2 linked regions of the Caenorhabditis elegans genome follow. The protein of the gene in region 1 purifies or fractionates together with the protein of each later gene. This does not show direct contact. Each region holds a gene or a part of one and is shown on either strand. Other genes may lie near its edges.

What was found. The genes of interacting proteins can lie anywhere in the genome.
Region 2: the proteins of C25F9.5 (region 1) and lin-65 fractionate together in Caenorhabditis elegans (co-fractionation; one large-scale study listed by BioGRID). This does not show direct contact.

What each region holds. Positions count from the first base shown.
Region 1 is NC_003283.11:19,407,174-19,412,719, reverse strand, and holds C25F9.5 (SNF2 N-terminal domain-containing protein), read left to right. Parts: upstream 1-1,862; 5' UTR 1,863-1,964; intron 1,965-2,106; 5' UTR 2,107-2,120; coding exon 2,121-2,769; intron 2,770-2,996; coding exon 2,997-3,596; intron 3,597-3,669; coding exon 3,670-4,067; intron 4,068-4,438; coding exon 4,439-4,713; intron 4,714-4,761; coding exon 4,762-4,981; 3' UTR 4,982-5,008; downstream 5,009-5,546. Other genes in the region: C25F9.4 (SNF2 N-terminal domain-containing protein), read left to right, coding at 1-618, 676-1,075, 1,322-1,367.
Region 2 is NC_003279.8:1,753,402-1,758,377, forward strand, and holds the start of lin-65 (uncharacterized protein), read left to right. Parts: upstream 1-1,927; 5' UTR 1,928-1,928; coding exon 1,929-2,061; intron 2,062-4,976. Other genes in the region: Y71G12B.10 (hydroxymethylglutaryl-CoA lyase), read left to right, coding at 598-914.

The DNA.
Region 1 (5,546 bases):
GTGAAAATGAGCCTGTCCGTGGAGGAGTTATAACAACTCTGATTAGAGATATTCTAATAAAGGAAGCAATTATTGAATTTCTTCTGGATCGAAAGAATACGAGCGAAGAATATGGTCATTCGATGGGGAAAACTTTACTGGTTGTGCCACCCGATATGATAGAATCTTGGAAGAAACTTCTCGAAAAACTTTTGGAAAAAGATGATCTCGTGATTCACTACTTCTATAGAAATGAAGACAAAAAGCCAGATGATAGTCATGAAGTCGTTATCACTACTTACGACATGCTCAAAAATATTGAAAATCGGAACATTCTATGGAAACGAATTATTTTCGAGGATAATTATTCAGCGAGCGAAAAAGACAGGCAACAATATCAATTACTTTTTTCATTTCTTTGCCAGTTACATGCGGAATATCGTTGGTGCCTGACGGAAAATCCGACGCAACAAAAATTGGCTCGTTTTATGAATCGGAAAGAATATGGTGAAAGTCATAATTTGATAAAATCAATTTCTTTGGGAAATGCTAAAGACGATGAAGAAAAAAGCACTGCAAAACTGGTTAAAAACATTGAAGGCTTTTTGAAGCAAGTTACCTTGCGTTTCCCAAGAAGTCGTAAGTTGTATAAAATCTCGATTCAATTTACTAAAATTAGCATTTTAAAATTTGCAGCGAATGATTATAAAAAACACATAACTAATGCAAAAAAAGAAAAAAACGAAAATGAGCCCAATATCAGCAAATTTTGCAACAATATGTTAGCCGCAATAGTCAGCTACACCAAAGAGTTCTACATCAAACATTTCAAAATTTGTGCAGAAAGTGATGAGGATATAGAAGAAATGTATGATTCATTTTGTGCTGGTTTTAAAAACACGTCGGATGTCGGTCTTATTATGAAAATATGGGTGGACGCGCACTTTAACTTTTCCAAAAGCGAGCAAGATCGTTGTTTCATTGGGAAAACAGCAATGAAAAATATTATCGAAAATTTTGAGAAAGCAATCAAAATAATTGAGAAAGCTACGCAAACATCTATTGAGGAAAGCTACAACCAAATGAGAGCTGCTAGGTGAGTTGTCTAACAAGAAAATTATTTTAGCAAGGTCCCTGACTATGCAAAATTTAGATTTTATTTTGAAGCTTACGAATATGATTTATTATTGTGTAAGCTTAGAAAAACGAAAAATCATTCTTCGTTCGAGCGTTATAATTCTGAGTGAAAAATAGGACGGTTTGCTTCTTATAATTTCATTTTGAAAACAAAGACAGTGTTTTGTCTCTATTATTAAACTTTAAAAAATCATAAAAATTTCAGGAGTGGAAAACGACCAATAGAGGAAGTTAAAGCTTCAAAAGCTTAAGCCATGCCAATTAAATATAGAAAATGCAACAAAAAAACGGGAATCATGTTTAACAATTGTTTTTATTTGTGAAAAAAAAGATGAAATTGTTACAAGTGCTTTGTTATTTTATATTTAAAAATGCGTATACATTATACAAACATGAAATTTAAATTATATCTTTTATAGTCCCAATAATCCCACTATGTTCTCTTTTTTAAATAAAGATGGTTTAAACATATCCCCATGATAATTCCACGGTCGACATTGCAAATATAATATTTAATTAAATGTCATGAATTTGTGGACCAGAGCTTTTCACGAACCAATCAGTTTCTTTTTTCATAACGGTTAAGCTTTATAGCGTGGTCGGAAATTAGTCTTGAATGAACAGCATATCACAAGTTCTTTTAATCTCGATTTCATCAGTATCAGATGTAGGCACTACTTAACTGTCTTTGTCGATGACAAACAATTCTTTCGAAATCAAGAGCGATAAGAAGAAGAACTGGAAGCAAGTTGAGTGAGCACGCAGTACGTGTGTGTATACAACACACCGTCTTTTTGACTCTCGATTCACTTTCTTTATCAATTATTAGGAAGTATATCTCTGAAAAGGTAAGCTAATGCTTCCCAAGCAAAAACGTGAGGCGAAAATAATAAGATGGTATAAGAAAAAAATTTCTACATTCTCATGTTCAGTGAACAAAATATTTTTTAACGATTTTGTGAAATATATAGGAAACTGTCTTTTTTACAGAACCAAAAAACAGGATGAGTTCTGATTCGGATATGAAGAATGTAATGCAAGATTTGAAGAAACTTGAAAATAGAAAAGACAGCGGAGGAATAATCACTGTACCCACGAGTGATAGTGAAATAGATCAAGTAATAATTTCATATATTCTGGAACAAAAGGAGCAAGGAACTTCTGAGAATAATATTAATTTAATCGTTGGGACGCCTAAGTGGATAAAGTCATGGAATTTGAAATTCAATGGATTCATCAGGGCGGGCATTCTGAAAGACGATGATCTTCTTATTTCCTATTTTTACAACCGGACAAAGTCTCGCAGTTCGAATGAACTTGCTAAAAATGATATCGTCATCACTACTTACGATACATTGAAGACAAAATCAAACCTTCCAATTTTTAAAGCTGTCGATTGGGAACGAATCATACTTTATGAAGCAAACAAGATTAGTGACATTAACACTTTACGATTTGGAGCAATTTGCGAACTTAAATCAAAATATCGTTGGTGCCTTACGGAAAATTTCAAACAACATAGTTTGGCTTTTTTTTTGAAGATGTATGATGTTGATTCCTTTAAAAACACCAAAAGTCTAGAAGAGCACAAACTTCTTGTGAAGGACATTGAGAAAGACTTGGAGCAAGTTAATCTGTATTGGTCAAGTACTGGTGAGTTTTAAAAATAATAATGTTGACAATAATAGTAATAAATAATAATATTAGCGTCTCCTTAGGAATAAAGTTAGCCCACCCTTCGAAATACACACAAACTGAAATATATATGTATACATATGTATGTACATATATATTCGTGACTCAAAAAAGAAAATAACCAGGTCTAATTGTCCAAAGGGAAGATAGAAATAACATAGTAAACTTAGTGTCTTTTTTTACAGAATTGAAAATGAAAAGGATAAACTTTGTTTTGAAACCCCGTCAAAAGGAGTTTACAAATAGTTTAGCGCAATGTGAAGCAGAATCTACATATAGAACAACGGCATATGGAATGAATGAAGATGAGATAAGAAAATCAATCATTGCATTCCTTCTGGATCAAGACGAAAAAAGCGAAAGAAGTAGTAGGGCTATGGGAAAAACTTTACTGGTTATGTCACCCGATGTAATAAAACCTTGGAAGGAACTTCTTGAAAGTCTTTTGAAAGAAGATTATCTTGCAATCAACTACTATGGAAATGAAACCAAAAAGTCAAATAATAGTCATGTAGTCGTTATTACTACCTATGACAGGTTTGAAAAAAGTTATAAAAAGTACATTCAATGGGAACGAATTATTTTCTATGGATTTTCTCTTGCCAATGCAAAATGCAACCAGCATTATCAAAAACTTCTTCAACTATCCGTGATGCACCGTTGGTGTCTGACTGAAGAAAACACACACCGTTTCTCAGCTCATTTCTTGAAGGGGAACAATGACAAAATTGGAGAAGATGTAGTCGTGAATAACATTGAGCAAAAATTGCACTTGTTAAGTACTAGTAAGCTTTTTTTAAAAATAAACAGAAGATCAATTCCTCTAGTATTTTTTTTAAATTAAAAAACTGTTTGCAGCAAAATATTATTTTACCCTCATGACTAGTGCAATAAAAGCATCAAAAGCTAATGATTGTTGTCAATTTTCCAATGATATGTGGGAATCAATTGTCAGTTACACCAAAGAGTTCTTTTATAAAAATTTCGAAATTTGGCTCAAAGAAGATGAGAGTTTAGAGGAAATGTATGAGATGATGTGTCTTGGTCTTGATGGATCAGCAGCCGCTTTGATAATTCGTTTATGGGTTGATGTAAACTGGAATCATACTGCGTGTAAACACGATTCATTTTTCATCACACGAGATGAGATGGATGATATTGTTGATAGGTGGAAAAAATCGATTGACTTGACCGAGAATGCTCATATTGATTTAATTCGCAATGTACTTATCGAAAAGAAGTTATTGCAGGACTTGGTAAGTAAGTGTGAAAATGAGTCTGATTGTGAGTTACTGTGAGTTGGGTCATAGTTATGTAGAAAATTGGTAATCTCAAATACTTGTCAAGTTGTTTTTACAAAATGTTCACCAATTTTTCTCAAAAATTAGATTCAATCTTGATTTTAAAATAGTTCCGTCTGTGGGGAAATTATTGAAAACCAATCCTGTGGTAGCTGATAGTTTTAAACATAATTAGAACATAAGACTGGAAGACTTTTTTTCTATAAATTGACGACTTCCAAAGTCGTCAATTACTTTTTATCATGGGTGCACTTCATTTTTAATGGTTACACATTTCCAGCATAAACAAGTGCCTTCAAAAAGTATTAAAAAAACCATACTTTCAGCTACCTACGTATACACCTTCGTATATCATCTACGACTTTGATGTACTCTTGACGAAAGCAAAAAAAATGTCGGAACAGGATCCTCCCGATATAGTGATTTTCTCCTACCTCATTTGGGGCGCAGCTGTTGTATGCTTGAGAAAGTTCTTTCTCGACAGATTAAAACTCGAGATTTCGGGCCAAAATGCACAAGAAATACTCATGGAAATTGTTGTCGACTCTTTTACAGACGACACTGGTGGACGTCTACTCAGAGCCTGGACATTTGCAAAACTGTAAGACAATTTATTGTTTCCATGATTCCTGATACACTAAAAATTCAGTTGTCGCAAGAAAGCATACGCTATGAGCCATTCAAACCTGCTGCTGAGAAATTACATTCTAGAATCGGTGAAGAGCATGGAAGAATGCATCAATAAAGCCGACATCGAAAAAATTTGGAAACAGTTGGAAGCTTCTGATTTACAAATATTGAAGTTGTCAAAAAATTATTTTGTGACAATCGGGAAAGATAAATTTTTGTACAACAAAGTAACGTGTTGATAATAAATGTTTCATGTTCCTTGTATTGTTACAGTTTTTGAGCATTTGATAAGCATTTTCAAAACAAGTGGCAAAACAAGTATTGTTAGACCTCCTAGCTATTATAATACCATCAATAAGATATGAAGAATTCTTGAGGATTGTATTATTATTGCATTTGCATTTCAGGTTTCTTGTAATGAACAAATAATTCATTTTACTACCTCGTTGGCGAAATAACTTCAACGCAAATATTTCATTCTACGACGAAGAGACTTGAAAGTTGCTCAAATGAACGAATTTCGCAGGTTCAAAGTTTTCAAAAAAGTACACTGATTATAGCTGAAACCTCGAATTTCGGTCACTCTTCCGTGTCGCAGCGGTCGGAAGTTGACTTTTTCAGCTTTATCATCCTTTATTGTGCATCTGGTAGTTTATCTCATTTGATATCGTTGTACATCACTTTTATACTGCAGTATTATTGGATTTGAAACTTTTCTTTCATCATCAGAAAGGTTCTGCCAATACCGATACCCAAAAATAAATGCTGCGGATCACACGCTGAGAGCCGAAAATTAAATTGAAA
Region 2 (4,976 bases), on another chromosome or scaffold:
AACTGTAATTTTTTTTGAATTCTGACGACGACAAACCTGAAATTAGTATATTTCACAGTTTTACAAAATATATTTTTATTTATAAAACTGTAAAATATACTAATTTCAGGCTTGCCGTCGTCAGAATTCAAAAAAAATACAGTTTTAGGCATTTTCAGTTACTTTTTAACAAACATTTTGCATATGTCTTTTTTATTTCTTTCATTTTCCAACAAAAAAAAACAGAAGAAATGAAGAAATTCAGTCGAATAATGAGAATAAATAAAATTAATTAATTCCAATAATGCAAGCGCGCTCCATCGGTCAAATCCGATTGGCGGTAATTCAAATAGGAATTAGGGGAAAACTGAGATTTTTTCAATTATCAAAAAAAAATCTTATAAAATCTAGAAAAAATTTTTTGAATTTTTTTATCATGATATTCGGTCAATTTCCCCACAGATTGTGGGTCTCGCAGCGAAAATTGAGATTTTTATCGTTTTTTGAGTTATTTCAATGAAAAATCGATTGATTTTCAGGCGAAAAAAGTCGGGAAAACTGTGAAAAAAAATTATTTTCGAAAGAAAAAAAAATTTCAAAAAATCACCACCATTTCAGCCGAAAAACTCGCAGTTCATTTCCACGACACATACGGTCAAGCTCTCGCAAATGTGCTCATTTCCATCGAAAAAGGCATCCGAAGTGCGGATTCAAGTATCGCAGGGCTCGGTGGTTGCCCATATGCGAAAGGAGCAACTGGAAATCTTGCAACTGAAGATTTATTGTATTTTTTGAAAGGAAACGGTTTTGAAACTGGTGTCAATTTGGACAAAGTTGTCGAAACTGCAAAATGGTTTAATGAAGCCGCCGGATATGATAAATGGTCGAGAGTTGGAGCTGCAATGATGGCTAAAAAGAGCAAAAGCTGCTGCTGAAAATGTGTGCTGTAAAAAATTTAAAAAAATTTTTAAAAATTCGTGTAAAAATTACCCCGGTTGTTTAGGAAATAATAAAGAGATTAGAGACTTTTTTCAGATTTTTATTTTCTTGAGTTTTGCCGGTTTTCAGCCGATTTCTATCTTTTTTTTCTCATTTTTTGTGATTTTTTTTCGCTAGTTTTCCCCTCAATTTCTCGATTTTTTCACGATTTTTTGAAAATTTTCGGAAAATTGAATTGTTTGCAAAAAAAAAAATTCAAAAACCGCATTTTTCTCAGAATTTTTCTGGGATTTTGTACAAATTTTTGAATTATTTCTCAAAAAAAAGCAGGTTTTTACCGATTTTTTTGGTTTTTTCCCCAAAATTTTCCGATTTTTTCCGAGTTTTGCCGGTTTTCAGCCGAATTCTACTCTCGATTTTTTTACGATTTTTTGGAAATTTTCGGAAAATTATTTGAAAAAAAATCAAAAAACCGCATTTTTTTTTCTGAATTTTCTGGGATTTTGTACGAAATTTTGAAATTTTTCTCGAAAAAAGCAAGTTATTCCCCAAAATTTTCTGATTTTCCCCCAAAAATTTAGATTTTTCCCGAGTTTTCCCCAGTTCTCAGCTGATTTCTATATTTTTTTCTCAATTTTTGTGATTTTTTGTTGCTAGTTTTCCCTTCAATTCCTCGAGTTTTTCACGATTTTTTGGAGATTTTCGAAAAATTGTTTGAAAAAAATCAAGAAACCACATTTTTCTCTGGATTTTCTCGAAATTTGCACAAAATTTTTGAATTTTTTCGTAAAAAAAAACTGTTTTCCCCAAAAATTTCAGATTTGTTTTTGATTTTTTTCGAGATTTTCCCCTGATTTCAAAGTTTTTTCCTGAATTTTTCGAATATTTCCTGAAAAATCGGCTATTTCTAACTTTTTAAATAATTTTTTTTGAATTTCTGACTTTTTAAATCCTTTTTTTTTTGCCATTTTTTCCCATCTAAAATTCTAAATTATTCAAAATTTTACAGAATGTCAGAAGTAATCGACGAAAGTATCTTAAATACAGAAGCTTCAGATGATCCAATACCTCCATTAAATGATGATCAGATTGCTGAGCTTTTGGGTGAAGATGGAGAAATTATGGAGATAACTGAGCAGAAAGGTGAGATTTTTTGAGTAAAACCTTGAATTTTGCACTAAAAATTTGCAATTTTCGCTAAAAATTACCTTAAAACTCGAAAATTGGAATTTCTAGCTGAGAAAATGGCCAAAAATGTCGAAAAATGCCTCCGAAACCTGTGAAAAAAAAAACCACCAAAAAGGTTTCTAGGCCACCAAAAAGATTTCTAGGCCACCAAAAATGTTTCTAGGCCACCAAAAATGTTTCTAGGCCACCAAAAATGTTTCTAGGCCACCAAAAATGTTTCTAGGCCACCAAAAATGTTTCTAGGCCACCAAACAGGTTTCAATGCCACCAAAAATGTTTCTAGGCCACCAAAAATGTTTCTAGGCCCCCAAAAAATTTTTCTAGGCCACCAAAAAGGTTTCTAGGCCACCAAAAATGTTTCTAGGCCACCAAAAAGGTTTCTAGGCCACCAAACAGGTTTCAATGCCACCAAAAAGGTTTCTAGGCCACCAACCAGGTTTCAATGCCACCAAAAATGTTTCTAGGCCACCAAAAAGGTTTCTAGGCCACCAAAAATGTTTCTAGGCCACCAAAAATGTTTCTAGGCCACCAAAAAGGTTTCTAGGCCACCAAACAGGTTTCAATGCCACCAAAAATGTTTCTAGGCCACCAAACAGGTTTCAATGCCACCAAAAAGGTTTCTAGGCCACCAAAAAGGTTTCTAGGCCACCAAAAATGTTTCTAGGCCACCAAAAAGGTTTCTAGGCCACCAAACAGGTTTCAATGCCACCAAAAATGTTTCTAGGCCACCAAACAGGTTTCAATGCCACCAAAAATGTTTCTAGGCCACCAAACAGGTTTCAATGCCACCAAAAATGTTTCTAGGCCACCAAAAAGGTTTCTAGGCCACCAAAAATGTTTCTAGGCCACCAAAAATGTTTCTAGGCCACCAAAAAGGTTTCTAGGCCACCAAACAGGTTTCAATGCCACCAAAAATGTTTCTAGGCCACCAAACAGGTTTCAATGCCACCAAAAATGTTTCTAGGCCACCAAAAATGTTTCTAGGCCCCCAAAAAATTTTTCTAGGCCACCAAAAAGGTTTCTAGGCCACCAAAAATGTTTCTAGGCCACCAAAAAGGTTTCTAGGCCACCAAACAGGTTTCAATGCCACCAAAAAGGTTTCTAGGCCACCAACCAGGTTTCAATGCCACCAAAAATGTTTCTAGGCCACCAAAAAGGTTTCTAGGCCACCAAAAATGTTTCTAGGCCACCAAAAATGTTTCTAGGCCACCAAAAAGGTTTCTAGGCCACCAAAAAGGTTTCAAGGCCACCAAAAAGGTTTCAATGCCACCAAAAATGTTTCTAGGCCACCAAACAGGTTTCAATGCCACCAAAAAGGTTTCTAGGCCACCAAAAATGTTTCTAGACCACCAAAAAGGTTTCTAGGCCACCAAACAGGTTTCAATGCCACCAAAAAGGTTTCTAGGCCACCAAACAGGTTTCAATGCCACCAAAAATGTTTCTAGGCCACCAAAAAGGTTTCTAGGCCACCAAAAATGTTTCTAGGCCACCAAAAATGTTTCTAGGCCACCAAAAAGGTTTCTAGGCCACCAAACAGGTTTCAATGCCACCAAAAATGTTTCTAGGCCACCAAACAGGTTTCAATGCCCCCAAAAAATTTTTCTAGGCCACCAAAAAGGTTTCTAGGCCATCAAAAATGTTTCTAGACCACCAAAAAGGTTTCTAGGCCACCAAAAATGTTTCTAGACCACCAAAAAGGTTTCTAGGCCACCAAAAATGTTTCTAGGCCACCAAAAAGGTTTCTAGGCCACCAAAAATGTTTCTAGGCCACCAAAAAGGTTTCTAGGCCACCAAACAGGTTTCAATGCCACCAAAAAGGTTTCTAGGCCACCAACCAGGTTTCAATGCCACCAAAAATGTTTCTAGGCCACCAAAAAGGTTTCTAGGCCACCAAAAATGTTTCTAGGCCACCAAAAATGTTTCTAGGCCACCAAAAAGGTTTCTAGGCCACCAAAAAGGTTTCAAGGCCACCAAAAAGGTTTCAATGCCACCAAAAATGTTTCTAGGCCACCAAACAGGTTTCAATGCCACCAAAAAGGTTTCTAGGCCACCAAACAGGTTTCAATGCCACCAAAAAGGTTTCTAGACCACCAAAAAGGTTTCTAGGCCACCAAACAGGTTTCAATGCCACCAAAAAGGTTTCTAGGCCACCAAACAGGTTTCAATGCCACCAAAAATGTTTCTAGGCCACCAAAAAGGTTTCTAGGCCACCAAAAATGTTTCTAGGCCACCAAAAATGTTTCTAGGCCACCAAAAAGGTTTCTAGGCCACCAAACAGGTTTCAATGCCACCAAAAATGTTTCTAGGCCACCAAACAGGTTTCAATGCCCCCAAAAAATTTTTCTAGGCCACCAAAAAGGTTTCTAGGCCACCAAAAATGTTTCTAGACCACCAAAAAGGTTTCTAGGCCACCAAAAATGTTTCTAGACCACCAAAAAGGTTTCTAGGCCACCAAAAATGTTTCTAGGCCACCAAAAAGGTTTCTAGGCCACCAAACAGGTTTCAATGCCACCAAAAATGTTTCTAGGCCACCAAAAATGTTTCTAGGCCCCCAAAAAATTTTTCTAGGCCACCAAAAAGGTTTCAATGCCACCAAAAATGTTTCTAGGCCACCAAAAAGGTTTCTAGGCCACCAAAAATGTTTCTAGGCCACCAAAAATGTTTCTAGGCCACCAAAAAGGTTTCTAGGCCACCAAACAGGTTTCAATGCCACCAAAAATGTTTCTAGGCCACCAAACAGGTTTCAATGCCACCAAAAAGGTTTCTAGGCCACCAAAAATGTTTCTAGACCACCAAAAAGGTTTCTAGGCCACCAAACAGGTTTCAATGCCACCAAAAAGGTTTCTAGGCCACCAAACAGGTTTCAATGC